Saccharomyces cerevisiae S288C: one gene and its partners. Changing the gene in region 4 together with the main gene of any one other region gives a genetic interaction. Each region holds a gene or a part of one and is shown on either strand. Other genes may lie near its edges.

Region 1 (7,482 bases), on a different chromosome or scaffold from region 4:
TTTTTGAATTCTTAAACATGTAATATCTCAAAACTAACACTTAAACATTATGCCGAAGAGAACAGTCCCTAACCCATTTGTAGTAAGCAGCCTTACAGGATTCCAAGGATTCAGCCAGCCAAACTGACCCATTGCGTTTTCTACCAATCTTCTCTTGTTTAGTAACACAATCCGGGTCACCCTTCGGAACTTCGGAATTGGAGAGGCAAGTGCAAAGAAAAGTGTTAAACCTCGGAGCCAAATGATTGATGAGGTAGCCGAGAAGATAAGAGCAGCTTGTTTCCTGCGCCTGTGTACGGGAATCCTCATTTATATAATACTTGGTTCTGTTTAGCCACCACAAATAATGCTCAGAAATACGCTAAAATGTGCCCAATTGTCGTCTAAATACGGATTTAAAACTACCACACGTACATTCATGACTACTCAACCCCAGCTAAATGTCACCGACGCACCACCTGTGCTATTTACCGTTCAAGATACAGCTAGAGTTATCACGCTAAATAGGCCCAAAAAGCTCAATGCTTTGAACGCCGAAATGTCAGAATCCATGTTCAAGACTTTGAACGAGTATGCAAAGAGCGATACTACAAACTTAGTCATTTTAAAGTCATCCAACCGACCACGTTCGTTCTGTGCTGGTGGTGATGTAGCTACTGTGGCAATATTCAATTTTAACAAAGAATTTGCCAAGTCCATCAAATTTTTTACTGATGAATATTCTTTGAATTTTCAAATAGCAACTTACTTGAAACCAATTGTTACCTTCATGGACGGTATCACCATGGGTGGCGGCGTTGGTCTATCCATTCACACGCCCTTTAGAATTGCTACAGAAAACACCAAATGGGCCATGCCCGAGATGGACATTGGTTTTTTTCCAGATGTAGGCTCAACTTTTGCTCTCCCTAGAATCGTGACATTGGCTAACTCAAACTCACAAATGGCCCTGTATCTATGTCTTACAGGAGAAGTAGTCACAGGAGCAGACGCTTATATGCTCGGCTTAGCGTCTCATTACGTCAGTAGTGAAAATTTAGATGCTTTGCAGAAAAGATTAGGTGAAATTAGCCCCCCTTTTAATAACGATCCACAATCTGCATACTTCTTCGGGATGGTTAACGAATCCATCGACGAATTCGTATCACCATTACCAAAAGATTATGTTTTCAAGTATTCTAACGAGAAATTAAACGTTATTGAAGCCTGTTTTAACTTGTCTAAAAATGGTACTATTGAAGACATAATGAATAACTTACGTCAATATGAAGGTTCTGCGGAAGGTAAGGCTTTCGCACAAGAAATCAAAACGAAATTGTTAACCAAGTCACCATCCTCTCTTCAAATCGCCTTGAGATTGGTGCAAGAGAATTCCAGAGATCACATAGAATCTGCTATCAAAAGAGACTTATACACAGCAGCTAACATGTGCATGAACCAGGACTCTTTGGTGGAATTCTCTGAAGCCACAAAGCATAAACTTATTGATAAACAAAGGGTCCCGTATCCATGGACAAAGAAGGAACAGTTATTTGTATCTCAGTTGACATCTATCACATCTCCTAAACCATCGCTACCAATGTCATTACTAAGAAATACCTCGAATGTTACTTGGACTCAATATCCCTACCATTCTAAATACCAATTGCCTACAGAACAGGAAATCGCTGCGTATATTGAAAAGAGAACGAATGATGACACTGGCGCCAAAGTTACCGAAAGAGAAGTACTAAATCACTTTGCCAATGTGATTCCTTCTAGAAGAGGGAAACTGGGTATCCAATCGCTATGTAAAATTGTTTGTGAAAGAAAATGTGAAGAAGTTAACGATGGCTTAAGATGGAAATAAAACCTGAAATAGCAGCCCCGTGGCTCGTAAAGAATTTTGCCAACACTTCTATGCATGTAAATAATAAAAGTAAAACATAACGCTATATTTGTATATGGATGTTTATTTAATGATACATAGAAAACTGTCATTTTCTTTCTCTTTTCTTATAAGTATTTTTTTTTATAAAAGGCAAAAAAAAAAAAGTTTGAATGTAATAAATATGGTTCAGAAAGAAATTACAATAAATCAAAAGTTTTGAGTATCATTCAAGATTATTTGCATTTTTCCCTCATTTACAGGCTATTTTTTCAAGGCCTTTCTTCTGTTTCTAACACCTTCTGCCAATAGCTCCAATACCTGTTCGGTGGACTCCCAGCCAATACAAGCATCCGTAACAGAACAACCATACTTCAATCCCTCTCTGCCACCTTCTTTGGGAATATCTTGTCTACCTTCATTTATGTTGGACTCAATCATAACACCACAGAGACTATTCTCACCCTCCGTCAGCTGGTCATAAATACATTTGGCAACCTTTGGTTGGTTCTTGAAATCTTTATTACTGTTGCCGTGGGAACAATCGATCATAATTCTTTTCTGGGAATCATCAGTCAAACCGGCCTTTTCTAACTGTTTCTTAGTATTTTGAACACTTTCTTTGTCAAAGTTAGTACCGTTCTTACCACCTCTCAAGATCAGGAAGGTATCCTTGTTACCTTCAGTGCCCACGATAGCAGTGACACCTGGCTTTGTGACAGAAAGGAAGTAATGTTCATGTGCAGCGGCTCTCATAGCGTCGATGGCGACTTGCAAACCACCATCAGTACCGTTCTTAAATCCAATAGGGAAAGATAGACCGGATGCTAATTCTCTGTGCAGTTGGGATTCAGTAGTTCTGGCGCCGATGGCACCCAAGGAGAAACAATCACTCAAAAACTGCGGAGAAATGGTATCCAACATCTCACCAGCAATGGGTAATTTTTCAACCAGTTTTATGAACATTTCTCTCGAAATCCGTAGACCTTTATTGATTTGAAAAGAGTTATTCATATCAGGGTCGTTAATCAACCCTTTCCAGCCAACAGTAGTCCTTGGTTTTTCTAAATACGCTCTCATAATAATCAATAAGTCTTTTGACAACTTTTCTGAAATTTTAGCCAATCTGTCAGCGTAATCGTAAGCGGCTTTGGGGTCATGTAGGGAACATGGCCCGATCACGATAACTAAACGATCATCTTTACCATTCAAAATATCACAGACGGAGTCTCTTGCCTTGATAATGTTTTCCTCACCTTTGGCTGAAATTGGAAATTCATGTTGAAGCAGATCTGGAGGGGTTAATGGATCATAACCTTTGATTCTCCAGTCTTCCAAGCGTTTCCTGTCACCGGCGTGATCGTTTTTAATGAACATAATGCTATAAAGTGTTCTTGTAACGTAATAGGGGTAGTAGCTATAAATATAAATGAGAAATAGTGAAAATAAATATGTCGTTCGTATACAAGTAACAGGAAGAAAAAAAAGAAGAGAGAGAAAATGCAAACACTTATAAACACATGCATGTATTTAATGCAGCAAGCATACTTTCCGATGTGACTAATACTTGAGCAATGAAAAAATATAAAAAAGGAAAGTGAGGAAGCTTTTAAATATATGTCACTATGTACGCATAAATTTGAGAAGATACGCAGCTGCTTCTTTTTTTTCAGCGGCTAAATATGATGTTCTTTCCATACTAATTTTTAGCTGTCGATTAGAATTAAAAAACGTCACAACATAGGTTAATTAAACATAGACAACATAGGAAGTGACAACAGGTTCTACAGCAACCACCGGATTCTCTCCGAGGAGGAGGCTGTTGGACATAGACTGGTTGTTGTTGTGGGGCATAATGCATATTTTGATGATGCCTCATTTTGGTATTGCTAACTTAGACTTTTTTAGTTGACAATTAGGATTATTTTAATTCACAACATAACTGAGAAACATTTAAATACAGTTGAAAACTGGGAGGGGCGAGAGGGGAAGGAGAAAATGAAAAATCGAGCTTGTATAATTTTTAAATAGAAATTGCCCTTATTTCTTCGCCTTTTTCCTTTTTTCAGGGTATCGAAAAAAAATGCGAGGGGCTGTGCAATTCAAAGCCAAGAAAGAAAAATAAAACAAGAGGGTTAAAAAATAGAAAAGGTCCTACCCGGATTCGAACCGGGGTTGTCCGGATCAAAACCGAAAGTGATAACCACTACACTATAGGACCCTAAAATGGACGATTGGAACCTTCTTTCGTACCTTCTTGAACAAAGCATTTTGAGTAGAAAATTCATCAATCCTAAATTTGATATTGACTTAGGTTATGGTTTACTCTTCTTTACAGAAATACAAAAGGCATGCTGATTGTTGGAATAAAAATCCATTATCATCTATGATAATTGTGCGGATTCTGATGTAATTGTTGGGATTCCATTTTTAATAAGGCAATAATATTAGGTATGTAGATATACTAGAAGTTCTCCTCCAGGATATAGGAATCCCCATAATGGAATCTATATTTCTACATGCTAATATTACGATCATTCCTCATTCAGTTTTATATGTTTCATTATCCTATTACATTATCAATCCTTGCGTTTCAGTTTCCACTAATTTAGATGACTATTTCTCATCATTTGTGTCATCTTCTAACACCGTATATGATAATATACTAGTAACATAAATACTAGTTAGTAGATGATAGTTGGTTTTTATTCCAACAGTGTATCAACTAGTGGTCATACTATCAATATATTATCATATACGGTATTAGATGATGACAGAAGTTATGGAAAGCTTCGAAGTTAGAGGAAGCTGAAATGCAAGGATTGATAATGTAATAGGATAATGAAACATATAAAACGAAATGAGGAATAATCGTAACATTAGCATGTAGAAATATAGATTCCATTTTGAGGATTCCTAAATCCTCGATGAGAACTTCTAGTAAACCCTGTATACCTAATATTATAGCCTTTATTAACAATGGAATTCCAACAATTATCACAAAATTCACAGAATTTCCAGTTTAATATCAAGAATAGGTGGATAATACGGTAATCGTATGGCCGCCATTGTTATGAAAGACAGTTATTCCTAAGTATATTGAATATACCAGGGTCACTATCGAGAATGTAGAATTTCCCATAAGGAAAGCCATGAGTTCGTATAATATTATGATTGTCTCCTCTCTTCTTTTCTATATCATCATATGATTATTTCTATTGTGTTATTAGTTTTTACATTTCAGTCCTCAGTACTTTTGTGAGAGGAGCTAAAAAAAAAAAAAAAAAAAAAAACATTACTTGGAAAAGGGAGGCATAGGAAAAAAAAAATGTCTAATATCGAAGATTGAGGAAAAAAATAAGTTATTGAAGGATGCGAGGTTCGAACTCGCGCGGACAACCGTCCAACAGATCTTAAGTCTGCCGCCTTAGACCACTCGGCCAACCCTCCGTAAAATCACTTGCCTGTTTTCAGATTCTGTTCTTATTCGTTTAGGTAAGAAAGAATATTCAAGGGAGGATGACTTTCGAAGATTGTATTTTTCTTGTTGGAATAAAAATCAACTATCATCTACTAACTAGTATTTACGTTACTAGTATATTATCATATACGGTGTTAGAAGATGACGCAAATGATGAGAAATAGTCATCTAAATTAGTGGAAGCTGAAACGCAAGGATTGATAATGTAATAGGATCAATGAATATTAACATATAAAATGATGATAATAATATTTATAGAATTGTGTAGAATTGCAGATTCCCTTTTATGGATTCCTAAATCCTGGAGGAGAACTTCTAGTATATCTACATACCTAATATTATTGCCTTATTAAAAATGGAATCCCAACAATTATCTCAAAATTCACCCAATCTTCATGGTAGCGCCTATGCTTCGGTTACTTCTAAGGAAGTCCCATCAAATCAAGATCCGTTAGCCGTTTCAGCTTCCAATTTACCGGAATTTGATAGAGATTCCACTAAGGTTAATTCTCAACAAGAGACAACACCTGGGACATCAGCTGTTCCAGAGAACCATCATCATGTCTCTCCTCAACCTGCTTCAGTACCACCTCCACAGAATGGACAGTACCAACAGCACGGCATGATGACCCCAAACAAAGCTATGGCCTCTAACTGGGCACATTACCAACAACCATCTATGATGACGTGTTCACATTATCAAACGTCACCTGCGTATTATCAACCGGACCCACACTATCCGTTGCCACAGTATATCCCACCACTGAGTACTTCCTCACCTGATCCAATCGATTTAAAAAATCAACACTCTGAAATACCTCAAGCTAAGACAAAGGTGGGAAATAACGTCTTACCACCACACACTTTAACATCAGAAGAAAACTTTTCTACATGGGTTAAATTTTACATCAGATTTTTGAAGAACTCTAATCTCGGTGACATCATTCCAAATGACCAGGGTGAAATCAAAAGACAAATGACTTATGAAGAACATGCGTATATATACAATACCTTCCAAGCATTTGCCCCATTTCATTTATTGCCAACATGGGTAAAACAAATTTTAGAAATTAATTATGCTGACATCCTTACAGTCCTTTGTAAAAGTGTGTCCAAAATGCAAACTAACAATCAAGAATTAAAGGATTGGATAGCTCTTGCCAACCTTGAGTACGACGGAAGTACATCTGCTGATACATTTGAAATTACAGTCAGTACGATCATTCAGAGGCTAAAAGAAAACAATATCAATGTTAGCGACAGATTGGCCTGTCAACTAATACTTAAAGGTCTATCCGGTGACTTCAAATACCTACGTAATCAATATCGTACCAAAACGAACATGAAACTTTCCCAATTATTCGCTGAAATTCAATTAATATATGACGAAAATAAAATCATGAATCTAAATAAACCGTCCCAATACAAACAACACAGCGAATACAAAAATGTTTCTCGCACATCTCCAAACACGACTAACACAAAGGTTACAACTCGTAATTATCAGAGAACAAATAGTTCAAAACCAAGAGCAGCAAAAGCTCACAATATTGCTACATCTAGTAAATTCTCAAGGGTGAACAATGATCACATTAATGAATCAACCGTTTCATCACAATACTTAAGCGATGACAACGAACTTAGTCTTAGGCCAGCAACAGAAAGAATCTAAGCCAACACACACAATAGACTCGAATGACGAACTACCTGATCACCTTCTTATTGATTCAGGAGCTTCGCAAACGCTTGTCAGATCAGCCCATTATTTACACCATGCAACACCCAATTCTGAAATAAACATAGTCGATGCTCAAAAACAAGACATTCCTATAAATGCCATTGGTAATCTTCACTTCAACTTTCAGAACGGCACCAAAACATCAATAAAAGCACTACACACACCAAACATAGCCTATGATCTATTAAGTTTGAGTGAGCTGGCTAATCAAAATATTACTGCCTGCTTTACCAGAAACACTTTAGAAAGATCGGATGGTACAGTACTAGCTCCCATAGTCAAACATGGAGACTTTTACTGGTTATCTAAAAAATACCTAATTCCTTCGCACATTTCAAAGCTAACAATAAACAACGTCAACAAAAGCAAAAGCGTAAATAAATATCCATATCCGTT
Region 2 (7,624 bases), on a different chromosome or scaffold from region 4:
TTTTATCAAGCCGCCGTCTAATAAATTACATCGCCATGGCTACTGCTATTTCGTCCACAGCTTAATACTTACCGAACCAGGCCTTGCGGCTCTTACCCTGCGTGCCCGCGCACCCTGGCGACTTCGCCTCGTTTTGGCGATTTTCTTAGCAAATATTCTTTCACGATCGTAGTGGTGGAAGGTGGGTGAAAAGAGTTGCGTTCCTAGCAAGGATCGGTTGGTATCAATTGCACGTTCAGCTCATCCCTAGATAACCACTTAACAGCAAAGCCGATCGTTAAACTTTTGTATTCTACATTCTAGTTGCATTTTTTTTTTTTTTCATTTTGTTACATCAAGACAAGATTCTCTATTTAAAGAAGTACTTTTTTTGTTAACAGTGTGGACCCTACCTATCGTTATATCGAGATCTTGTTCCCTAGGCCATCGTACACTATAGCCCTTCCTTCAAGCACTTAATAGAAAAACCTCTTTTTCTACACCATCATAATAGTGTTTGCTCGCCCCGTTCTTTCCATTCCCATTTATAACAATACTAGTAACTATAATAATATCCTTACGACTGGGCAAGACAAGACGAAGCAAGGCCAGCACAGACGTAAGCTTAAGTGTAAGTAAAAGATAAGATAATTATGAGTGACAATCCATTTAATGCGAGTCTTCTTGACGAGGACTCAAACCGTGAGAGAGAAATACTAGATGCCACAGCAGAGGCCCTTTCGAAACCAAGCCCTTCTTTAGAGTATTGTACTTTATCCGTGGACGAAGCTCTAGAAAAACTGGACACTGACAAAAACGGTGGTTTACGATCATCTAACGAGGCCAACAATAGGAGATCACTTTATGGCCCCAATGAAATAACCGTAGAAGATGATGAAAGTCTTTTCAAGAAGTTCTTGTCAAATTTCATTGAGGATCGAATGATTCTACTTTTAATAGGATCCGCAGTGGTCTCTCTTTTTATGGGTAACATTGATGATGCTGTTAGTATCACACTGGCCATTTTCATAGTTGTCACTGTCGGTTTTGTCCAAGAATATAGGTCTGAAAAATCTCTAGAAGCGTTGAATAAATTGGTTCCTGCTGAATGTCACTTAATGAGATGTGGTCAAGAGAGTCATGTACTGGCTTCCACCTTGGTTCCTGGTGATTTAGTGCACTTCAGAATAGGTGACAGAATCCCCGCAGACATTAGAATTATTGAAGCAATCGATTTATCCATCGATGAAAGTAATTTAACTGGTGAAAATGAACCGGTACATAAAACCTCACAAACGATCGAAAAATCTTCCTTTAACGATCAGCCTAATTCAATTGTACCGATTTCTGAGAGATCTTGTATAGCTTATATGGGTACATTAGTCAAGGAAGGTCATGGTAAGGGTATCGTCGTAGGAACAGGTACAAACACATCCTTTGGTGCCGTTTTTGAAATGATGAATAATATTGAAAAACCGAAGACTCCATTGCAGTTAACAATGGACAAATTGGGAAAGGACTTGTCACTGGTTAGCTTCATAGTTATTGGTATGATTTGTTTAGTTGGTATCATACAAGGTAGATCTTGGTTAGAAATGTTCCAAATATCGGTATCCTTAGCGGTTGCTGCTATTCCAGAAGGGTTACCAATTATTGTCACTGTTACTTTGGCATTGGGTGTTCTGAGAATGGCCAAGCGTAAAGCCATCGTGAGAAGGTTACCAAGTGTCGAAACTTTAGGCTCTGTCAACGTTATCTGCTCCGACAAAACAGGTACACTAACCTCAAACCACATGACCGTATCTAAACTTTGGTGCTTGGACAGTATGTCCAATAAGCTAAACGTCCTCTCATTAGACAAAAATAAGAAGACTAAAAATTCTAATGGAAATTTGAAAAACTATTTGACTGAAGACGTTAGGGAAACTCTAACTATCGGTAATCTCTGTAATAATGCATCTTTCTCTCAAGAACATGCCATATTTCTGGGAAATCCTACTGATGTAGCTCTTTTAGAGCAATTGGCAAACTTTGAAATGCCTGATATCAGAAACACCGTTCAAAAAGTTCAGGAACTTCCATTTAACTCGAAAAGAAAATTAATGGCAACCAAGATTCTCAACCCTGTCGACAATAAGTGTACAGTTTATGTTAAAGGTGCATTTGAAAGAATTCTTGAGTACTCCACAAGTTATTTGAAATCAAAGGGTAAAAAAACTGAAAAGTTGACTGAAGCCCAAAAAGCTACGATAAATGAGTGCGCAAATTCTATGGCATCTGAAGGTTTGCGTGTCTTTGGATTTGCTAAACTAACTTTGTCTGATTCATCAACTCCTCTAACCGAAGACCTAATCAAAGATTTAACCTTTACTGGTTTAATCGGTATGAATGACCCACCAAGACCGAACGTTAAATTTGCCATCGAACAATTACTACAAGGTGGTGTCCATATTATTATGATCACTGGTGATTCTGAGAATACCGCAGTAAACATTGCAAAACAAATTGGTATTCCAGTTATTGATCCAAAGCTTTCCGTTTTATCCGGTGATAAATTAGATGAAATGTCAGATGATCAACTGGCCAATGTCATCGACCACGTTAATATTTTTGCTCGTGCTACGCCTGAGCATAAGTTAAACATTGTTCGTGCATTAAGAAAGAGGGGTGATGTGGTAGCAATGACTGGTGATGGTGTTAACGACGCTCCTGCGTTGAAACTTTCAGATATTGGTGTTTCTATGGGTAGAATTGGTACAGATGTAGCCAAAGAAGCCTCAGATATGGTCTTAACTGATGATGACTTCAGTACTATTTTAACTGCCATTGAAGAGGGTAAAGGTATCTTTAATAATATTCAGAATTTCCTGACTTTTCAATTGTCTACTTCTGTTGCCGCACTATCATTAGTTGCACTATCTACAGCGTTTAAACTACCCAATCCACTGAACGCAATGCAAATTCTTTGGATAAATATTTTAATGGATGGGCCACCAGCTCAATCCTTAGGTGTGGAACCTGTTGATCATGAAGTTATGAAAAAACCTCCAAGAAAACGTACCGATAAAATTTTGACCCATGATGTAATGAAACGTTTACTAACCACCGCGGCCTGTATCATCGTTGGGACAGTTTACATTTTTGTTAAAGAGATGGCCGAAGATGGTAAAGTAACTGCTAGAGATACTACTATGACATTTACTTGTTTTGTTTTTTTTGATATGTTTAATGCTTTGGCCTGCAGACATAACACAAAGTCAATCTTCGAAATCGGCTTTTTCACGAACAAAATGTTCAACTACGCCGTTGGACTGTCTCTGTTAGGTCAAATGTGCGCTATATATATACCATTTTTCCAAAGTATCTTTAAAACTGAGAAACTTGGTATCTCTGATATACTATTGTTATTGCTCATCAGCAGTAGCGTTTTCATCGTTGATGAATTGAGAAAATTGTGGACGAGGAAAAAGAATGAAGAAGACTCAACGTATTTCTCAAATGTTTGATATGTCACATTTTGTGCTTTTATCGTTTTTCCTTCCTTCCCTTTATCTTTCATGAGGACGCCCAACCCTATTGAGGTAAATGTACTAATTAATGGGAACATATGTAGATGTATATATGTACATATATTTACAACGGATACTAAGATAAACATGTATGGGCGACTTTTCGTATATACAAAGCAATATAAAATTTTATTCTTTCCTTCTTTTTCCGGACTAGATATAAAATCTCCGTAATCAGTGGTTATGATTTTCAAAAGTTAATCACAGTTTTATTTAAAACTGTATACAATTATTTGCAGCCGCCTTTCGCAATCTGTTCATAACAGCTAATCCTTCTCCTTCCTCATTTATACCTTCGACAAATATTAGGTCTACTTTATCATTTTCATCCACTTTTCTTAAAGCTGCAAACAAGTTAGTCTGTATTTCTTCACCAGATTGGCCAAGTCTTTCGATGATGAAAGTTTTCGAAGAAAAATCGGGTTCATTAAAGATCTTAGATTGTAAGTCGGAATCACGTAATTTTAGGGAAGTTAAAATCGCAATTTTTTTTATATTACTGTTGGCTTTTAATTCCGTTTCGATTAACCTCTTTAATCTTTCCATCCTATCAACGCCCTTAAGAATGCCATCGCCTTCGCAATGAGGAACTAGTAAAACAACTTTAGCTGAAGGGGAATAGTGTCTATACTTCATACCAGGCGTTCTTACCTTTTCGCCCTTTTCAACTGTTTTCTTATTCTCAACTTTACAAAGAGACCAAGCTTCACCACCCAATTTAACAATTTCTTCATATGTAAAACCGCCAGGTCGCAGTAGCGTAGGAGGATTACATAACCCATCAACAACAGTACTTTCTACACCAACCTTGCACGCTCCGCCATCAAGAATTATGGGAATTTTATCCTTTAGATCATGATAAACATGAGACGCTAAAGTAGGAGATGGCCTAGTAGACGCATTCGCTGAAGGAGCAGCTATTGGTGTATCGCTCAGGGCAATCAGTGCTCTAGCCACTGGATTAGCGGGTATGCGTACCGCAAACGTAGGCTGATCTGCGGTCGTTAACTTTGATAATGCACTATGCTCTGAAGATGGAACTGGCAAAAGAATTGTTAATGGGCCAGGCCAAAGGCTTGAAATTAATGGGCGATAGATTGAGGGTATGTTATCAAACAAGGATGTACCTGATAGATGCGGTTGATTAAAGACCTTTCTGTTAAGTTGATCAATGGATGAAACATGTGTAATCAAAGGATTGTCACTAGGCCTATTTTTGGCCCTGTATATACTAAGCACTGAATTATCATTTAAAGCAGAACCTCCAAGACCATAAACAGTTTCGGTTGGAAAAGCCACAGTCTCATCTGTATCTCTTATTATCCTCGCCGCTTCAACTAGCGCTGCTTCCGTTTCAGGATCTGTTATCGTTGGTAAGGAACCATCTATATGCGCATCAGGGGAGAAAATGATTGATAGCGGGTTAACTTTTAAGATCTTGGTATCAAACAGTGCTTTCGATGTCATTGCCAAAAAATGTCGTCCAAGGTACATACAATTCTAAAAATGGAATAATAAACAGGACTACCATTAAAAATGGAAACAGGTTTAGTGGTAAGTTAACAGCGCAGAAGAAAAAAAAAATTTGAGGAGAAGAATAAAGCTCTCGCTTCAAATATTATCAGCTTCAATAGGTATGTGCGATGAGGTTACTATCTTCTGGGTGAAAAAATAGTAAGGCTAGCGTAGATAATGATTTGAAATTTCTCAAAAAAATATTTTTGATACATATAATAATTTTGAAGCCTGAATTTTTCAACGAAATAGCCTTGTTGGCGCAATCGGTAGCGCGTATGACTCTTAATCATAAGGTTAGGGGTTCGAGCCCCCTACAGGGCTATCTTTTTTAGGCTCAAATCAAAAAAATGTCTAATATATTAAATTCTACTTCCTTTTTATATCTCAAAGAAGAAGGCATTTAACCCCATTCATATGGTTTACACTTGTGTTGAGATTTGTTGCTTGCGCTTCTTTTATCCTTTTAAACCGCTTATTTATCCTTTCCAACGATAAGGCTCAAATGACATCAATGTTCTCTTTTGTGTCACAAGAAATATAAATAACAACAATAAAACATTAGGTATTTAGTTGGAAGTCAAACTTGAAACTCTTCCCGGTTATGTTGTATTGGCAAGGAAAGAGCTGAATTGGTTGAGTGATGGGAGCTGGCACTCTTTTAAATGGATTAGAAAAGGAAAACTTTCCAAATAACATCCATTCAGATTTGCCTGCGTATCCTAACATGGATTCTCAAGAAGATGGCAATACTAGTAAGGAAAGTAAAAGAAATAGTCCAGTAAAACAGAAGTCCCAAAAAGATGAAGAAAAGTCATCTAAAATGGGGACTGCAAGCAACATATTCCATGAAAATAAAGATATACACGAAAGATCTGAACACACGGACGATTTTAATGATGGCTTAAAACTGGCTCCGGACTCTAGTCCAAGCTTGAAAGAGTGTCAATTTAAAAATTGGGAAAGTTTTTGGTGTAATACAGAAGGTTACAAAACTAAACACATGCAGCCCTTTCATTTTACAAGCGGATTAGAAGAAATAAAGGAACCGGTCATGGAATTGAATATTTCCACTTCACCATACAAGGGACAGAGGCCAAATTCAGCTCCAACCGAGTATTCAGCTGCCACAACAGCGTTTACCAAAACACAATTAGAGGTGAGTTTTCTAAAAACCAACTTGCTTACATACATTAAAAAAGAGATTGACATTTGCTTGTCAAGTGTTCCATTTTTTGACGACGCAGTTCAAATGCAAAAGAAATTCTTGGAATACAGAGATATTGACTTGGATGAAGAATATGAGCTCAAAATTTTGGGGGAACTTTTGAATGATTTAAACTTCTTTCATATGCAAGAAAACTCTTTGCTAAATAGAGAGCTAGCAGTTCGTAGATTCTCCAATCAACCTGAAAGTCAAAATTTACCTTCCATTAGGGATTTTAGAAATCCACTTTTGCCAATAGATAACCGCCCTTCTCCCCCATTAGGATTGAAAAGAAACGGAAAGTCTTTCGAGGAAACCTATGATTTCACGTCCAATACATCAAATTTTTGGGGAGAAAAAGCAGAACTACAAAACTCCATAACTGGTGGAACACCCTATTTTTTCCACCCTAACAATATACATCAAACAAAACCTTTTATGTCATTTGAAAATCAAAATGAACTTCTATTCCAGAGAAAAAATTCAGATTACAAGCAGCATTTTAACTCTGGAAGAAATATACATAATGGAGTGGAATCGAAATCTTACAGAGGTGTGGGGTTAAACGATAGTTATCAAAAGGGTTATGCAGCAATGACAAAGTCGTTTGGAAATATCGATTTAAATAGAATGCCCAGAAGAAGTAATGAAGAAATGTATAGCTGGTCACGTAATTGATCAATGAAAGTAAATAAAAAAAACTACTAATCATATATACATGTCTTGCATACGCACGTTTGTTTATATTATTTCGAGAAATGTTTTTTTGAAAGTTCTTCATTTTTTCTTCTTTTGGATGCTGCAATCATTTCTTGTTGACGTCTTCTTTTGGCCTTATCCATCTTAGGCACAGTAGTAATCTGCTTTCTTTCTTTATGCGCTTTACCGTTTTTTATACTTTCTTTCTCCTTTCTGGTCATTTTAGCCATTTTATCCATCCACTCAGATACTTCACAACCACTTTGTTTCATGACATTTATTATTGGTTTAATAGCTACTGAGTCTTGTTTAGTATAGAATGTGATAGCTTTACCTGACCGCCCACCTCTACCTGTTCTACCAATTCTGTGAACATAAGCCTGAGACGATCCTGGAACGTCATAATTGATGACCAGATTGACACCTTTGAAGTCAATACCACGAGCTAAAACGTCGGTACAGATCAAACACCATAATTCACCAGTTTTAAATCGTTCAATAATCCTGTCTCTTTGTAAGGCTGTTCTTTCTGCATGAATCACATCTACGTTAATCCTATCGTACATCAATTCATGATATAACGCTTTTGCTCTTGTAATAGACTCTAAAAATATTATGATCGGTGGCTTGAACTCACCCTCTTGAACGAGTTGTC
Region 3 (7,844 bases), on a different chromosome or scaffold from region 4:
GTTTGTTTTCGGGTTCATGTGTTCTTTTAGCATTATATTGTTTGACCGGCGCATTCTTTTACATTCCAAAGGCTACCTTATCTGCAGTTATCATTCACGCTGTATCTGATCTTTTGGCCTCTTATCAAACTACCTGGAATTTCTGGAAGATGAATCCATTGGACTTCATCTGTTTCATTGTCACCGTCCTAATAACGGTATTTGCCTCTATTGAAGATGGTATTTATTTTGCCATGTGCTGGTCATGTGCAATGCTCATTTTAAAAGTGGCTTTCCCAGCGGGAAAATTCTTGGGTCGTGTGGAAGTCGCTGAAGTTACTGATGCTTACGTCAGACCGGACTCCGATGTGGTTAGCTACGTGTCTGAAAATAACAATGGTATTTCCACTTTAGAAGATGGTGGTGAGGATGACAAGGAAAGTTCCACCAAATACGTCACAAATTCCTCCAAGAAAATAGAAACAAACGTTCAAACAAAGGGCTTTGATTCTCCATCTTCTTCGATTAGCCAGCCAAGGATAAAATACCATACTAAATGGATACCGTTTGATCATAAATACACAAGAGAATTGAACCCGGACGTTCAGATTCTCCCCCCACCAGACGGTGTTCTTGTTTATAGGCTATCAGAGAGCTACACCTATCTCAACTGTTCCAGACACTACAACATCATAACCGAAGAAGTTAAAAAAGTTACCAGACGTGGTCAATTAATTCGCCACAGAAAAAAATCTGACCGTCCATGGAATGATCCTGGTCCATGGGAAGCACCTGCTTTCTTAAAGAATTTGAAATTCTGGAAGAAAAGGGAGAACGACCCTGAATCCATGGAAAACGCGCCCAGCACCTCAGTCGATGTTGAAAGAGATGACAGGCCATTGCTGAAAATACTATGCTTAGACTTCTCACAAGTGGCACAGACAGACGCTACGGCTCTTCAATCATTGGTTGATTTGAGAAAGGCCATAAATCAATATGCAGATAGGCAAGTTGAATTCCACTTTGTGGGTATCATTTCACCATGGGTGAAGAGAGGTTTAATTAGCAGAGGATTTGGTACTCTGAACGAAGAATACAGTGATGAATCCATTGTTGCCGGTCATACAAGTTATCACGTCGCCAGAGTACCTCAAGGCGAAGAAAATCCTGAAAAATATAGCGTTTATACCGCTTCAGGAACAAATCTACCTTTCTTCCATATCGATATCCCAGATTTTGCTAAATGGGATATCTAGCCAATGCATTTACAATGGACATGCAAACATTTATATCATCTCTTTTTTTCTATATTCCTAAACCAAAAAGTTTTCCCCCTTAAAAGTATACATTTAATATCATAATGAGATAGACACTGTTTATATAATAAGAAATAATAGGTAGGATGGTGCCATCGTGAGCATATACATACCTATAAATATTTACCTTATTTTTATTTTATTTTTCTCTTCCTCTCAGGAACAAAAGAAATACAACCGTTATTAATGTTATTGTCGTGGGACAGCTCCCCTTTTTTTTTATTTACTTACCACAGATAGAAAAACATGAAAGCAGCACTTACAAATAGTATAATAGTGAAAGTTAATAACGTAATATTTTTGACCTTCTGCCACCACATTATTTCTTTTATATTGACCGCTTTGCGCCTAAATTTATTACTGCTGCTATTTAGTTGGGAAGTTTTATCCACCAATAAAGAAACTCTTTCTTGTCTCTCCAAGAACTTGTCGATGTTATCGTTCATTATCTGGATGACGTCCTTTATTTGGTCTTCGGTGGCATCCCCGATGTCACTTATAGTGTTCTGACCATTCCCATTACTAGATTGGCCATTTCCAGAACTATTTAAAGTTTGGTTACGGTATTCGACCAGCTCTTCATGGAAAGAGTCTAGTATTTGACCTACATGCGAACTTAAAAGTTCGTTTGTAGCGTTGGACTCGTATTCCTGCAGCCCACTTAGTATCCTGATGGGCAAAATCTTGGGCATATCTACTAATGTGAAGCAAACGTACACAGTTTTGGGGTCATGGTCATCCGTGGAGTAGAAACAATCGAATCCGTCGATGAGATTCATTGACATCTTGGTAACTTTGTTCCCCTTGATCGGAACTACTTTGGGTAATACCATATCCATGATCAAATTATGGAAAATGACCGGCGTTATCTGCTCGTTTGCTGAAGTTATTGTACCATAGTTTTCGTTTTTCTGGAACGGCTGGAAACAACTAGATATTGTTTCACCATTTTTTATAACTTCCACATAACTTACTAAGACCATATGCAAAATCAAGCAAAATGGAACGTTAGTCTACTGAATGTAACATAGTAAAATTATGGCATGGGGGGATGAGCATTCGCATAATCCCTTTTTTAAACATTTGTTAATTGTGTAGAAATATTTATACATACCATTAAAGCGTTTCATTTGGTAAAAATATAAAAGTCCAATGCTCTAACAGCTTAATAAATTGTCGCTTTTCACTCTGTTCTTCAAATTTAATAGCTGTTGCTCCAACTTAGTCAAGTGCTAGAAAATTCATAGAGGGGCTTTTTTTCATCATTATTGTGACCTCATTTTTTCTTTCTTCGATCGTTTGAGGCGAATATTACCCGGGCGCTTGGTGGTAATGCGTTGTTTTAAATATTATATATAATGAATGTGGTGGTAGAATATATAGTTTACTATTTTTAGATAATGCAAATGGGTGGGGTGAAGGCGATGAAAAGGTGGGGGGTCTATCAGAGAAACCTGCTGTCACACCAGCCCTTTACGACATATTGAATCTCTCTCGTAGGTGCGGAAGTCTTATTGGTGACTTTGCCTAAATTTAGTTTTCCGCATGGTTTGAGCATTGTGCCGCCATTGTTGAACCATGGCTTGACGTCTGAGTGTACGCGGACCAAAGAACTTTTCAAATCCGCCGTTGCATGTTCGCTTGCGGATTCACGGCCTTGCGAAGGTTCCGTATTGCTTGTCGTTGCAACAAAGTGCAAATTCCAGGGGGTAGAATCGCCAAAAAGATCATTTCTTGTTTCATGGACCATGTCAGACCATAATTTTTTCCTAGTAATTAGGGCAAGCTTAATATCGTTCGTAGAGACATTTGGCTCCTTTTTGATTTCCAAAGACCGAATTTCGGAATACGTTAGCTGCTTCAACAGATGGTCATCTACTTCGACTTCGGGTAAAATACTCTTCCTTTTACATGATGTTTCAATAGAGTATAACTTTAGGAAATTGGTATTCAAACTTTTTTGTCTTATTCTTTTATTGGGCAAGAGCTCGCTAGATGCAATCGAACCGTCGGTCTCGGGCGATGGTGATGCAGATGGCCATTGTTCTAATTCTACCAGGTCATTTTCGTAAATCATGTTTTCTGTAGTCGATTTGCTCCTACTCTTCCTTCTTGAAGTCTTGCCGCCTTTCTTGTCGATGATTTGGAAGTCCACAGAGGTCGGACGAAGTTTGGCATCGGACGACGCAGAAACCAGTGAAAGGGCAGAGGACGATCGCGGACGCCGTTCGTATACGGGAGGAAAGATATCGACTAAATCCTTAACCTCCCAGTCGTCGAACAAATCGAGATCATTTATGTTTATTATTTTCATTTTGGGCACGACCGGCTCAGCCAGTACCTCATCGCCAATCGCGGGGGTCTGCAAATCGACAGCGTCAGCAATATCATCTGTCAAGGGATGAAGTTTAGAGGAGCTCAATGAAGAACAGTCGCTTTGAGCTTCCTCGGAGAACTTCCTCTTTATGCTCTGTGTTAAGTGGCCCTCATGTATGGGGCATTCGCCCGATAACGTCTTGGCGGAATTTGTTTTCCTAACTTGCGACATGACCGAGCTTAAGGACGGGGTCATCAAAGATGAGCGATTTTCGTTCAGCAGTTCGGAATCGTCTCGAGCCTTCAGTATTCTAGTCCTCTTGAAGCTATTCCTCTTGGTTAGTGTTCTAGTACGTTCAGCGCTTCCTTGACCATCGAACTGCGGCTTAGTGGAGTGGAAATAAATCTCATCGCTCACCGTCCTATTACTTGTGGCGGTCTTGTTCATGCTGGCGCTGGCTAACTTGTTATTCTTCTTATTAGTAGCGGTAGCGTAAAATGACTTGGGATAAAATACCTTTGATGAGTCGCTCCATGAGTGCAATGCGCCATCATCACGTATGCTTTTGATGAGGCAATGTTCATGCACATGAGCATCGTGCATTAGTGTGTGATTTGTGTTCACGTCCAGCAGCATTCTATAATTATGTCTTGTTGAAAGTGTTCTGTATGTTCGTGTCTATCCAAAGAAACAAGTAATTGAGAAAACTAGCCATCAAATACTTGTGAAGAAGCGAGTTTCCATTCTCTGTTTCACTCGTTTGGCGTTCTCACCATCCCACTTTTATTTCATTGGCTTTTTTAACACAATAAGGCGCCTTCAGCACCTTTGCCGCGCATTAAGGATGGCCACTGACGAAAAACCGGATAAAAAAAGACGAAAAAATGCCGTCTGACCCTAGTCAGGAGCCGCCTCATACACCCTAATTATTTTGGCGCTAAGCCCTAAGCATCATTATTACCCGACATGAAGCGACAGAAGCCCTACGGATGTGCGGCTGGAAAAGAAAGTTTCATGAAGAACCAGTTGATATATATTTTACTATATACTTTTGCTGTGTATTTCTATATGAGGCTAGTTGGTTGGTGGGAACTGGAAGTGAAAGTTCTGTTCTTTAGGGTGCAGCGGTTGCTGTTGCTGTTGCTGTTGCTGTTGCTGCTGTGGTTGGATTGATGCTTGTGATGTTTGTGGTGCCTGTGGTGCTTGTGGTACAGTTTTGCTGCCAGTTTGCTGCGAGTATGTAATTATGGGGTGAGCGGCATTTACATTAGGTGCTGGATTGATGGCTGGATTTGTTTTTTCGTAAGCGGCGATACTAGGCGTTGTGCTACTTGACATGTTTGCAAATGCATTATTAAACACTGGAGGTGAGACAGACTCGGTTAGTTCCCTTTTCTTTGCAAGCTCTTCGAGCCTTTTCTTTTCTTCCTTCATTTTTTTTCTTCTTTCACGGTCTTCCTGTTGTTTTCTTTGTTTGGCCCTTATTATTTTCAATTCAGGCACAAAAATGTTGCGCAGCTCAAGTTCCAAGTCCCTGATGCACCAAGCGCAGATAAAAGTGGAGCATTCAGACAGCGGTTTGCGTTTATCAGTAGGTCTTGAAGACTTGGTGCTGGGTTCAAGTGTGGATTGGGGTCTGCGAGAAGACCTTCTATTGCCGTGCGAATTTCCCATTATGATGACGCCAAAATCACGTTGCGACAGCGTGTGCTGTGGGGATTTTGTGGTTGAAGATATAAGCTCTATAATTTTTGGAGGTTGGCATTCCCAATGCTGCCACCTGTAACAATGATCACAGCATATCAATGGGCGGTTATTGAAGAGGTCAGTCTCCGTGTCTTCGGTGATAATCATGGGCGCCAGCTCTGGTTCGCCCGGACATTGGAAAACAGAATCTTGGTTGTCGGGCTCTTGCTGCGGAGTAAAGATCCCGTAGTTGGCAAGCTCATCTAGCTCTTCCTTTGTTATGCAGAAGTCACTAGGCAATTCAGGGACGTCTCCCGTCTGTAGTGGCCCAACAGTTCCAGGAATTGGTGGTTCCACCGGGATTATACTAGATTGAAAGTTAGGGCCGTGATCAAGAACTCCGATATCGATTTCATTTAAGGGATTGTCCTCCTCCCTGCCCAAAGACGTTTCAAAAAACGGTGTACCAGAACCACTTCTATCTTTGAGCTCGTTACGCCTGGTCAATTTTTCATCTCTATAATCTTGATCGTACAATTGCCACAATTGGTTCCAAAGAAGATCTTTTATCTTTTTGATTTCCTTCGACACTAGCTTGTTTCTGTGCCTTATAAATTGTTCTCTTTCATCTAGTTTTTCAAACCACTCACTTTCCAAGTCTTTTTTCTTGTTTTCTTCCTCTTTCGCTACCAGTCTCGAAGATCTTTTCCTCCTTGTCATTAGCTCCGCAATTGCTCTCTCCTTTTCTCTGTTGGCCAAAAGTTTTGCCGAATATAGTCTATGTTCGGCATACACCGGTATTAAGTTAGTTATGAACTCATCTATGGCTTTCGAACTTTTATTCTCTGACCAGTATTCTAGCATGGACCCCCAATTAGTTGTAATCACATCATAATCAATTGTAATCGATTGAAGATATGCATCGATATCGTGAGAGTACTCGAGATGAATAAGCTCCACTGAATCAGGAATGTCTGGGTCGCTTTCTTTTATAGTACAGTTCTGTAGTTTTATTGGGATATTCAGAGTTTGAGAGACTTGGGAGGAAGAGCCTTCTTTTACTCTGTGAATGGTTTTCTTTACGAGTACACCAACATTGGGTAAGGCAAACAAGCTCTTCATTTCCTCCCCTCCACTATTATCATCATCCAGTATAACTTCACTAAACGTAAACAGATGCAAGTTATTCGCTAAGTAGTTTTTGAAGATCATATTTTTCATTTCAATTAATTTTATGATACTGTAAATGATGTCGAATTGGCGTGCAATTTCAAGCTCCAAAAAAGGTAAGTCCGTAACCAAATCTGAATACGCGCTCGAGTTTTGCAAGTGATGGTTAACTATAACATTCCAATCTTTCAATTGCCCGCTTTTATTTCCCGCTAATTGATGCAATAATTGCAATCTAATTCTGTCGTACAAATTTTGCGATCCTTCATCTACGTCGACTTCATCATTGTAATAGTTCGAGTCCTTCCCGTCTATCTTCGAAAATACGTCAGTTACAAATACACCTTCATCGAATTTGATATTCTTCCACAAGCATTTGGTAGAGCTACCGCCATACTGGTCAGTATTAAATGTCGTTGTAGTATATGATTCGCAGACATTGGAAAGCCAAGCCATCACATACTGGAAGTGCCAGTGATTGGCCAAGTCCGCGATCTTCTCATCTAATATTTCAGAATACGGCAGCTGGTGCTTGTTCAATTGGGCTATTATGTCTTCGGAGACATATTCTTTCCAGTCTTCACTATCCGCATTCGCAGCGCCGGCAGGCATGCTCGCTCCTACATTTCTTGTACCCCTAGTTCTCTTCGTTCTCATCGATCGCTGATTCACCGCTTTGTATCTATATATGATTAGCCAGTGTGTATGAGTAAAATAGAGCAATTGATCTAGTTTCTTAGTCGTGTCACTATTGAATAAATAAATGTTAATGTTGCTGGAAAGGAAGAATTATGTCACTTTTGACGCTCTCGCATTCCGTGTGCGGTGATAGCGGTAACTTGGTCTAGCAACGAAAATTTAAAAAGGTTGGAAAAGGAAAAGAAGAGCTCAAGTGGACCTAGAAGTCCTGCTTTGCCACCGTTTAAGCAAGGAATAGAGCACGCCGTTGACACAAATTCACAGTCAAGGACGGGCCACGAGAACTTTATTACAAAATATACTGCATTACACGAAATTCAGCGGAACTCTGAGCGCGAACAGCATTAGGTACCGAGAAACGCTTTTCAAAAGAAATTTCTAAAAGTTTTATTGTGCCATTAATATCGCGGCTCAATTGTTAAGTATTTCACTATGCCTAATCCGAATACAGCAGATTACTTGGTGAATCCAAATTTCAGGACCAGTAAGGGCGGATCTTTATCGCCGACGCCAGAAGCTTTCAACGACACGCGAGTTGCTGCACCAGCCACTCTTCGCATGATGGGCAAGCAATCTGGACCAAGAAATGACCAGCAACAAGCACCACTGATGCCTCCTGCAGATATCAAACAGGGCAAGGAACAGGCAGCTCAGAGACAAAATGATGCATCGAGGCC
Region 4 (10,441 bases):
TGCTCTCTAGGGCGTGTTCGCTTCTCTATGTAACTGCATTTCACATATATTCATATTATAGCCTTTATAACATTACATAAAAGACATGATATACGACATACTTTAAAGTTAGAATTTTTGTTGTATTAATTTTCTCGAAGGGATTAGAATGTAAGTACATTTAAATAGCGCCGCAAGAAACATAACAGCCGTTAACACTAGCAAGATGGTAGATTACTGTGTCTAAGAATTTAAATTGTTTTGCTTGCTTTTGCCACTATAAGACAATAATAGTAATAGAAAAGAAATGTTAGTCGAACAGCAAATTGGTAAAAGTGGAAAAAATTATTTCGTTATTCATTTTAGGCCGTTCAGAAATATAGCATTTTGGTTCTTGCACTGAATGGGCCCTGAGGACAGTGTGCGGCTGGATAGCCATATACTTCGACATTACTTTTCACCTTTGAAGGGGGATGTATGCTTATACACAATCAAAGCTCGGCCTGTGCAGGTTTCACTACATAAGCTTTTTTACCATAGAAATCTTGCAGAAGGAAGTAAGTATCAAGATATTACGTATCGCATCCATAGAACGATAGCAGAAAAATGCAGTATATGATAACGATATGCTTCACAGCTGCGGCCCATTTGGGGAAAAAAGGAAAAGGAGCATCCTCGATCTTACAGATGTCGCTTTTTCCTCTTGAGGTCATTCCCTAACCTTGGATCCAAGTCAATCTGGTATCTTCCCACCCTAAATAGTGTATTCCCCATGTAATAAGATCGGACGATAAACTTCGAAACAATTCTAGCCTTTTTTATTAGATATTTACTCTACTTTAGATTTGGTGATTTTACTAAATGTTATCCTTCAGCCACTACAGCCTACTTTTTCTCACTAATATGTTCTTGAAGCCATTTTCTTCACCGGGCTTTGCCGAAGGTTATTTCACGATCTTCGGCATTCGCCGAAAATTTTTCAAGATGCCCATCACCAAAAAATAAAAAAAGCTTTATATATGGCATGGCATACGCATCGGGAACCGGTATTCTTCTCTTGGATTACACAGTTTGGACTACTAGACGTTTCAAATAGATATACACAATTACTCAAAAAAAAATTGAACTTCCGTACCAAACATGACAGCCAGTTTAACTACCAAGTTCTTGAACAATACCTATGAAAACCCATTTATGAATGCATCCGGTGTTCATTGCATGACTACACAAGAATTAGATGAATTAGCAAACTCTAAAGCTGGCGCATTCATTACAAAGAGTGCTACAACCTTAGAAAGAGAAGGTAACCCTGAACCACGTTACATTTCTGTCCCTCTAGGCAGTATCAACTCCATGGGTTTACCAAACGAAGGTATCGACTACTATTTGTCCTATGTATTAAACCGTCAAAAGAATTATCCTGATGCACCTGCTATTTTCTTCTCAGTTGCTGGTATGAGCATTGATGAAAATTTAAATTTGTTGAGGAAAATCCAAGATAGCGAATTCAACGGTATTACCGAGTTAAACTTGTCTTGTCCTAATGTGCCTGGGAAACCACAAGTTGCTTATGACTTTGACTTGACAAAGGAAACCTTGGAAAAGGTTTTTGCCTTTTTCAAAAAACCTCTTGGTGTCAAGTTGCCTCCTTATTTTGATTTTGCCCATTTTGATATCATGGCAAAAATATTGAACGAGTTCCCATTAGCTTATGTCAACTCTATCAATAGTATAGGAAATGGTCTTTTCATTGATGTGGAGAAGGAGAGTGTAGTAGTGAAGCCAAAGAATGGTTTCGGGGGTATTGGAGGTGAATATGTTAAGCCAACCGCGCTCGCCAATGTTCGTGCATTTTACACTCGTTTGAGACCTGAAATCAAAGTTATCGGTACAGGTGGAATTAAGTCCGGTAAGGATGCATTTGAACATCTTCTATGTGGTGCCTCTATGCTACAGATTGGTACAGAATTACAAAAAGAGGGCGTCAAGATTTTTGAACGTATCGAAAAAGAATTAAAAGACATAATGGAAGCTAAGGGTTATACATCCATAGATCAGTTCCGTGGGAAGTTGAACAGCATTTAATTATCGGAATTTGAAGAACTATGATGGGACAAGTTATGGAAGAGTGTTAAGATTCGTATGAATATTTTATTATTTTGAAATTGCATAAATCAAGGATAGTTGGTAAATGCTAATTCCTTAATTTTTCGGTGAGTGCATTCGCAATTGGCATCATACATTAGGGTTCAATGTGCTTTAATAGATGATGATACTAAATACTTATACTTTGAAATAACTTAATCAATGTAAATTATTGTCTTGATTCATTTATACTTAAATTTTTATATCTCAACATATGATATATCCTTACATTAAGACTTATTCAAGAAACATTTTTCAACGATAATTATTAGTAGGCTAAAAATGGCATAGGAACCAGAAAATAATGTTGAAGAAATGAAGCCATCTGTTTAATATTTGGGGAAAAAAGTGAAGAAATTAACGAATATGTGCATATATATATATATATATATATATATATATATTGCACAGGTGATTTTGATGTAGAATGTAGCCTTTTCGAAAGAGTAATTTGGTTTTATCTACAGAGTTCCGAAACATTGTTAAGTGCCTGTTCTTATATAATTAAACTGTACTTTCTGTAAAAGTCAATTTGTGGCTGGCGCATCCACGGTATACCAATGGTTCCGTGTAATTCGATATTGACTAAGAACCAAAAAGAAATGCTTTAATCCTTGTATTGTCCAAATCCCCCACCACCAGGGGTTTTAATGATGAATCGATCACCGGGTTGAGCGTAAATCGTATTTTTACCGCCGACATTGATTAATGCGCCTGTGCTATGTCTTACCCATAAATTCTCACCTCTACTACCGTCTTGTCCTCCCTTTATACCATGAGGGCCAATGACACGACGTTCTGATAATATAGATGCTGTTACAGCCTTCCGAAATTGAACATCCCTTACTACGCCATTTCCGCCAGTATATTTACCTTTGCCTCCTGAACCTCTTCTGATCGAGAACTCTTTCAACAGAACGGGGTATCTCCTTTCAAATACCTCAGTATCTGTCATTCTTGTATTGGTCATATTCGTGTGTACAGCGTCTGAGCCATTCCAACCACTTCCTCTCCATGAATCTGCACCAGCCCCCGAGCCGCCACATATGGTTTCATAATATCCAAAGCCTTTGATCTGCTTATCGGTTTTGTTACCAGAATTTCCTCCAGTTCCAAATGTAAAGTTGTTACAGTCACCTTGAGAATCTGCCATGACGTTAAATGTTTTTAAGATTACATCTGTCACTCTTTGGGAAGTTAATACATTGCCTCCGACAACAGCAGCACCGGATCGGGGGCTCAAGAGGGAACCAGCAGGAATTTTTATTGTTAAGGGTTTTAAACAACCTTGATTTAAAGGAATATCTTCGCCTACTAGACACCGTAGACAATAAAGAATCGCAGAATTAGTAATAGCCTCTGGTGCATTTAAATTACCATAAACTTGGGGAGAAGTGCCATCGAAATTAAAAATATACTCCTCTTTTTCAGGTCTTATGATAACTTGTAGTTTAATTAAGCTTCCATCATCTAAGCGATCTTCGCCAGAAAACTTCGTTGTGCCAAAATGTTCAACCATTTTTGCAAGCATTTTTTTTATGGATTCAGATGCATTTGTCTGAATTGCAGCCATGTATTTCAATATTGTAGCCAGATCATATTCCTTAGTTAATGACCCAATTAACTGTATCCCTTTTGTGTTAGCTGCGACTTGCGCTTTTAAATCGCTTATGTTATCACTAAATCTTCTTGAACCTGAGCAGCCTGGGTATTTGCCTGGATCTTCTACGAAAAGCTTGTAAATTAATTCTTCCTGGAAAATTCCCTCTTTGACAACCAATTCGGAATAAATTGCGGTTCCTTCTTCGTACAATTCTTTGGAATTTGGAGGCACTGAACCGGGTAGAATACCTCCAATATCTGCATGATGGGCTCTTGAAGCCACATAAAATATCAATTCGCCAGTTGAAGAGAAAGAAGGAGTTATTACTGTTATGTCTGGTAAATGAGTACCACCAATATCCGGATGGTTTGTGATTAAAACATCACCAGGCTTTAATTTGCCTTCCCATAACTTCGCCTGTGCTGATATGCAGGTTGACATTGATCCTAAGTGAACAGGTACATGAGGAGCGTTAGCGACTAAGTTTCCTTTAGAGTCGAATAGTGCACATGAAAAATCTAATCTCTCTTTGACGTTAGTTGAAACAGAAGTTTTCCTCAATTGAGTACCCATCTGGAGGGCGATATCCATAAACCTATGACTGAAAATAGACAATAAGATTGGATCTATATCAAGTTCATATCCGCTTTTAGATAATGTCTTCGCAGCCTTTTGGTTGATCTTGATAAATATATGAGAGTTTAAAATTGTTGCTTGGCTGTTTGGTAAAATAATATTTGTTTGGGTACCGTCAGCCAATATGGCTGGGCCCTCGATAATTGTTCCGGCAGGAAGATCATCAATTTTGAAGACCGCAGTGTCGACCCATTTGTTGTCAAAATATGCTTTCTGGGTAAAACTAGCATCCTTTGACACGTCGGCTTTCTTGAAATGGGAAATTTCAATCAATTGCTCATCAACCGTTTTTTCTTTTCTAACGCCTGATTTCCCAATTGCTCTTATCCTTATATCATCAATTATAATTCGTTTGTCATCGAATGAGAATCCGAACTCTTTTTTATGAGCTTCAGAGAACCATTCCCTAAAATTCCATTGGTCATCATATTTTTGTAATATCATCAAACTGGTTTCAGTACCTTCATATCTGAGATTTAAATATCTTTCCAAGACTATGTCCTCCCGAGAAAACGACTGAGATAAAAGGTTTTTGATTGAATTTTTAGAAAGTTCTAAGAATCTTTTTTTCACTTTCAAGATGGTCTCTGGCTCACCCAAGATAAAAGAGCAAGGCTCTTGGTTTTCTTCAATAACATCTGCTAAGAAAATGCCATAAGCGGACAAGATAGAAGAATATCTATGAATTAAAACAGTGTCAATGCCCAATGAATCTGCAACCGCTATGGCGTGTTGCCCGCCAGCCCCGCCAAAGGAAACTAACCGATGCTGAGATACTACATGTCCTTTTGCTTCTGTAATGGCCCTCACAGGTCTTGCCATGCATTCGTTAGCTACTTTGATAAATCCATAGGCAACCTCTTCCATGGTTAGATTTGAATTCAGATCCTTATTGATGACATCTGTTAATTCTCTGAATTTCAAAGTAGTGGTTTCTAAGTCAAGTGATTCATCCTCATTGGGCCCAAAAATTTTGGGGAAGAACTCAGGAACCAAACGTCCTAAAAAGAGGTTGGCGTCTGTAATGGTCAAAGGCCCGCCCTTTCTGTAGGCTGCAGGGCCTGGATCAGCAGCTGCTGAATCAGGGCCTACTCTGAATAACCCGTTTTTCCATGACAAAATAGAACTTCCTCCAGCAGCAACAGTATGGATGTCAAGTTGAGGAGATTGTATGATGATCCCTGCGGTAACAGTTTCAAAAACATGTTCTAACCTCCCATCGCCGTACCTACTGACATCAGTAGATGTTCCTCCCATGTCAAAGCCTATTAAGGGTATGTTATTATTTTTATCATAGCATGTACTAGAATAACCTATTACGCCACCTGCAGGACCAGATAAAATAGATTTCAAACCGGAAAATTTTCCCCCATCCACTAAACCACCATCAGACTGCATGAATTGAATGTGGGTATCTTCTGCGTGGCTCAAACCTGCAGAAATGCTATTCAAGTACTTTTTAATTACCGGAGTAAGGTAGGCATCTGCGACAGAACTGTGAGCCCTCGGTAAAAATTTTATCATTGGAGAGACTTCAGATGATAATGAAACATGAGAAAACCCAATCTCCCTGGCAATATTACCAACAATTCGCTCATGGTCTGGAAAAGTGTATGAGTGTAAAAATGCTATCGCAATAGACTTGATTCCGCTAGCATAAAGCACTTTCAGAATAGATCTTACGCTTGATTCATCTGGCTTCTTTATGACCCTTACCATTTCGCCACTATTACCTTCCAGGATACCTTCTTGTTCATTAGGAGACGATTTGGTAAAATAAGGGTCTTCCGAGAAATCTTCTAAAGTAACTCTCTCATCTATTTCAACTACAGTGTCATATAATGGCACTACCTTTTTTATATTTAAGTTGAAGATATCTGGCCTGGTTTGGTCTCCAATCAGCAATGAATCCTTAAAGCCTTTCGTAGTAATGAAGGCACAACGTTCACCATTTCTTTCTAGAGCGCAGTTTGTAGCTAGGGTTGTCCCCATTCTTAAACTTCTCACATTAGAGATGTCTAGAGGAATACCGCGAGGAATTGTCTTGTGTTCAAGCACCTCCAAGAGACGTCTTATGCCTTCAAGGGGAGCATCTGGATAGTTTTTGGGATCCACCGACAAGAGCTTGATGACAGTATCATGTTCTTGTTTACCTGTACCAATATTCCCCACACAATCAGTGAAAGTTCCACCCTTATCGATGGCAATTCTTATGTTTCCTTTCTGCATTGTATACCAAGAAGTTATATTTAGGTTTTCAATGCTCAAAATTATTACTGTTTAAGTTCAGTTCTTAGTTTTTGGCATTCTTTCTTCAACACCACGTAACATTTGATCTTATCTTTCTTTTCAGTGGTAATGTTATGGCGATCGTGCTCAATCGGAAAAGCACCTGAGGCAAACAAAACAATTGTTGAAGTATTCATGCAAATAATACTGAATAGAGCGGAGTACGCTTGTTCTTAATTCCAGAGATTGGTAAAGTGTTTATCATTGCTACCCTCTAGAAATAAAAATTAATTATTTAGGTAAAAAGTAGTACTGAGGTTTCATATCTGTAGACTGATGGAGTAAAAAAACATTGAAAAGACTATAAAGAAATTATAAGTAGATACACAATTGCTTAACCTTTCATGTAAGCATCTAATTCAGCGTCAAGAGCTTCGACAGAAGTAGGAGTGTTATTCTTCTCACGGCCCTTGTTCTTTTTGGAGACTCTGTTAGGCTTTTGGCGATAATGGCTCCCTGGCCTGCCTCTTCCGTGTTCTTGAGCCGTCTGTTTGCGACGGTTGTGGGCATTCATTCTAGAATGCTTTCTCTGTGGTTGGTAAATCTCCACTTCAATTTTTGCATTATGTAACTCATGTCCATTATAACGCTCGACAATCTTTTCCAAAACTTCTGGGTCTTCAAATTCGTAAATACATGTACGATCCTCTTTATTGTCAAAAATTTTCGAAAATATTGGCGAGCCAAACTCTTTAATCATATCATCGAGGGTGTAGTCAGAAACGTCTAGTGGGATTTTGGATATTCTAATTCTCTTAGGCAAAGGAGGCTCTTCCCTCTCTCTATAAAGGCGATCTTTCGACCTTGATGCAGCATCCGAAGGCGCAAATCCCAGTCTAGGTCCTAATTCATTTCTTAAATCCCTTCTGCGGTATCTCGTTACCTTATGATTAGATGAGCTGTCTGTGTGACTATTTCCAATAATTTCGTCAAATGCTTTGTCCATTGCAAAATGCAGTATTGAATCGTCTAATGGAAAAGGTACTAGACGCTTATCGTTTCAGTTTTTTAGTCTTTTCCATCTATTTATCAGTCTGTACTCAAAATAACCTTATTGTATGTAACCTTTTTCATTTCACGATGATAATTTCTTGCCGAGTTAGACAGAAAATGACCGTGATAGTTTGTCATAATTTTCAATAGGGCAGAAAGAATTTTAAAGATTATTTGCTATCTAGACATTATGTGTTTTATATGATTGCTGTAAAAGTATTAGGAGAGATCGTCGAAAATATCCTTAAACCTTGGCACGTTCCCATAGCTCCTTTTGATGTTTGCAAGCCAAGTTACGGAGTTGGCAAATTGTCTTAATGTAGGTTCAACAGTAGCCAAATTTCCGTAAGCTACGGTTAGCCTATATGCGGCTTCTTCGCATTCTTGATACTCTTCCAATGGCCCATACTTGGTGTTGATGGCGTCAGCTACGATAGGCAAAAGTTCTAAATCAGAGTTCCCTTTCGTGACGAGAGCTGAATAGTTGAAAATTAGTGTGGAAACTGCAATAGCCAAATTCTGTGACTGTTTAGCAGATGCCTGAGAAAATTCAGTATCTATAGTCTCAAAAATTGATTTATAAACTTGATTTGATTCCAGTAATTTCACACCCCAGTTTTCATTATTGAAGCAATTTACCAAAATACGCACAGTTAACATGGTTAGAGTGATATTCTTATTGCCCAAGCCTTCTTCGATGTAATCTTTTATATCTGAAGAATAAGGTAATTTTTTTACAATCAATCGTACTATGTCGTATGCAGGAGTCTTAATTTCCCAGTTAGATCTTATAGTGTTAGCAAATGAAAGTAGCAACTCCCAGCTTTCATCTATGTCATGTAGTGCGCCACCAATTTGCGCCAGAATTTCATCATCAAAGGTCTTCTCATTTGAATTTATTTTTACTATTCCATTGAAAATAGTATCTGGGTTATAATTTTCCATGATAAGATACTGCTTGACAGGAAGAACCTTCATTACGCTCGTTTTTGAAGGTGATACTGCAGAAGATGATGCATTATCGTTGGGCTGGTCTAGCGATATGCCATTAGTGTTCTTCAGTATGAACTGTACTACTTGATCCCTATAACTCATTGGCAGTTCATAACGAGCCAAAAAATTGTCGGCTGCTGTATATGGGTTGTCGCTGACATTAATCGGCAATTTCAAGGGAGGTTTTCCATCTTCAATATCCACATCAAATACGTAGTCATACGTTTTACCCTCGAATTCTATTTTTTTGTCGTTTCCAGTAGCACCTGCACCGACAACATCACCAACCTTTTTCCATGAAGAATTTGAAAATTGATGAGCTTCTATAGTACCTTGAGGTGATTTGACTACCACAATTTGACCCTCTTTGCGCCCCGGCGATTGTAAAATTTCATAAGGTGATAGTTTAGACTCATCAAATTCTATTGTCTTGGAACTTATAGTGGATTTTTCCACTTGCGTAGATAGTTCATTTATTTCATCCTCGGAAGCCCATCTTGACTTCTCTTGCGAAAATATTCTCACAAGATTATCACTACTTCCCACAATAATATCACCATTAGACATACAATCAACGGACCAAATAGAGATGGCAGGAAGTGTAATTACCTGCTTTAACGAACCATTTTCCTTTGACCATATACGGACTGTTCGGTCTTCGCCGCAGCTTACAATATCTCCATTGGGCAGCAGTTTAATGCAATAAACAAAGCTTTCATGGCCTTCATATGTTCTTAGTACGTCACCTGTATGCATATCAACCAACTTGATGAGGCCATCGTTTGAACAACTGATAAAATGGCCATCATCCACCACAGCTAAATGTCTTACTACATCATTGTGAATCCCACTGAAAGTTTTGATCACTTTATCGTTTTGCCACAGTTTAATCGTCTTATCGGCGGAAGCTGTCAAGAATTTATTTTCTGAGAAGGATACGACTTTGGCATCCCATACAGAGGCATTGTGTGCTTGCAAATTGTAAACCAACGATCCTTCTTTCCAAACCTTTGCGGTTTTGTCCCAACTACCGCTTATCACAACACCATCTTGGAAGGATAAACTACAAACGTTCCCTTGGTGGCCAATCAAGGTATACAAGGGATCCTCTCCTGAGGTGGCAAACAAGGGCACACCGTTGATCATAGTATCCTTACCTCCAAAAAGCAACAACTCCTTCTCGGAATCATAACACACACTATTTAAAAATCCTTGTCCTGTATAAACTACCGTACCGAGCCATTGGTCATCTTTAGACCACAAGCGAACTGTTCCATCCCTCGAAACACTAGCAACCTTTGAATCATCCACAGCTACCACATCCCTGACGTCCTGATCGTGCCCTTTAAGTGTTGCACTCAATTGATATCCCATACTCCAAATCTGCTGCTCTACACCTTACTATCACACATGAATATATATATATAAAATAAGCCAAGACAGTGGCCTTCCCTTATTATCAGCGTACTAAAATCTCATATGATTTATTTTTCGTGGTCCTGAACGAGTGTGAAAAATTTTGAAAAACTCGCAAAGGAAATGCCAAGGTCAGCAACTTTCTCGACGTCCAAGCCTCGCTCCTATTGTTTTAGTAACCTGTAGACCTTCAATATTCAAGAGCTTGCACACGCACGCATTGCTGCACTACTGCTTACCCACACTACAAATTTAATTCCAGCTTATTGAAGTTGAAAAGGCAAGGGAAAAATACCACAGGTTTAGATAAGGAAATAGGAGAAAGGATTAGAAACCATATCCCTATAACAGTAACGATAATATTTATATACACGTATATTTTCTCGT

What was found.
Region 1: mutations in OXP1 (region 4) and ARO3 together harm fitness more than expected from each alone (negative genetic interaction), as found in Saccharomyces cerevisiae (one large-scale study listed by BioGRID).
Region 2: mutations in OXP1 (region 4) and SPO74 together harm fitness more than expected from each alone (negative genetic interaction), as found in Saccharomyces cerevisiae (one large-scale study listed by BioGRID).
Region 3: mutations in OXP1 (region 4) and GIS3 together harm fitness more than expected from each alone (negative genetic interaction), as found in Saccharomyces cerevisiae (one large-scale study listed by BioGRID).

The regions. Positions count from the first base shown.
Region 1 is NC_001136.10:517,578-525,059, reverse strand, and holds ARO3 (3-deoxy-7-phosphoheptulonate synthase ARO3), read right to left. Parts: upstream 3,245-7,482; coding exon 2,132-3,244; downstream 1-2,131. Other genes in the region: mitochondrial 37S ribosomal protein mS47 EHD3, read left to right, coding at 347-1,849; cysteine-rich palmitoylated domain-containing protein CPP3, read right to left, coding at 3,591-3,746; YDR034C-A (uncharacterized protein), read left to right, coding at 4,368-4,544; YDR034C-C (gag protein), read left to right, coding at 5,704-7,020. UniProt on the Saccharomyces cerevisiae protein: Stereospecific condensation of phosphoenolpyruvate (PEP) and D-erythrose-4-phosphate (E4P) giving rise to 3-deoxy-D-arabino-heptulosonate-7-phosphate (DAHP).
Region 2 is NC_001139.9:183,477-191,100, reverse strand, and holds SPO74 (Spo74p), read left to right. Parts: upstream 1-5,706; coding exon 5,707-6,948; downstream 6,949-7,624. Other genes in the region: Ca(2+)/Mn(2+)-transporting P-type ATPase PMR1, read left to right, coding at 633-3,485; HUR1 (Hur1p), read right to left, coding at 3,305-3,637; SUA5 (threonylcarbamoyladenylate synthase), read right to left, coding at 3,762-5,042; RNA-dependent ATPase ROK1, read right to left, coding at 7,017-7,624. UniProt on the Saccharomyces cerevisiae protein: Involved in the pathway that organizes the shaping and sizing of the prospore membrane (PSM) during sporulation. Probable component of a core structural unit of the scaffold that initiates synthesis of the prospore membrane.
Region 3 is NC_001144.5:324,991-332,834, forward strand, and holds GIS3 (Gis3p), read right to left. Parts: upstream 4,249-7,844; coding exon 2,740-4,248; downstream 1-2,739. Other genes in the region: SUL2 (sulfate permease), read left to right, coding at 1-1,235; NYV1 (Nyv1p), read right to left, coding at 1,523-2,268, 2,410-2,425; IOC2 (Ioc2p), read right to left, coding at 4,687-7,125; serine/threonine protein kinase KIN2, read left to right, coding at 7,600-7,844.
Region 4 is NC_001143.9:24,096-34,536, forward strand, and holds OXP1 (5-oxoprolinase), read right to left. Parts: upstream 6,593-10,441; coding exon 2,732-6,592; downstream 1-2,731. Other genes in the region: URA1 (dihydroorotate dehydrogenase), read left to right, coding at 1,120-2,064; YRA2 (Yra2p), read right to left, coding at 6,987-7,598; DOA1 (Doa1p), read right to left, coding at 7,865-10,012. UniProt on the Saccharomyces cerevisiae protein: Catalyzes the cleavage of 5-oxo-L-proline to form L-glutamate coupled to the hydrolysis of ATP to ADP and inorganic phosphate.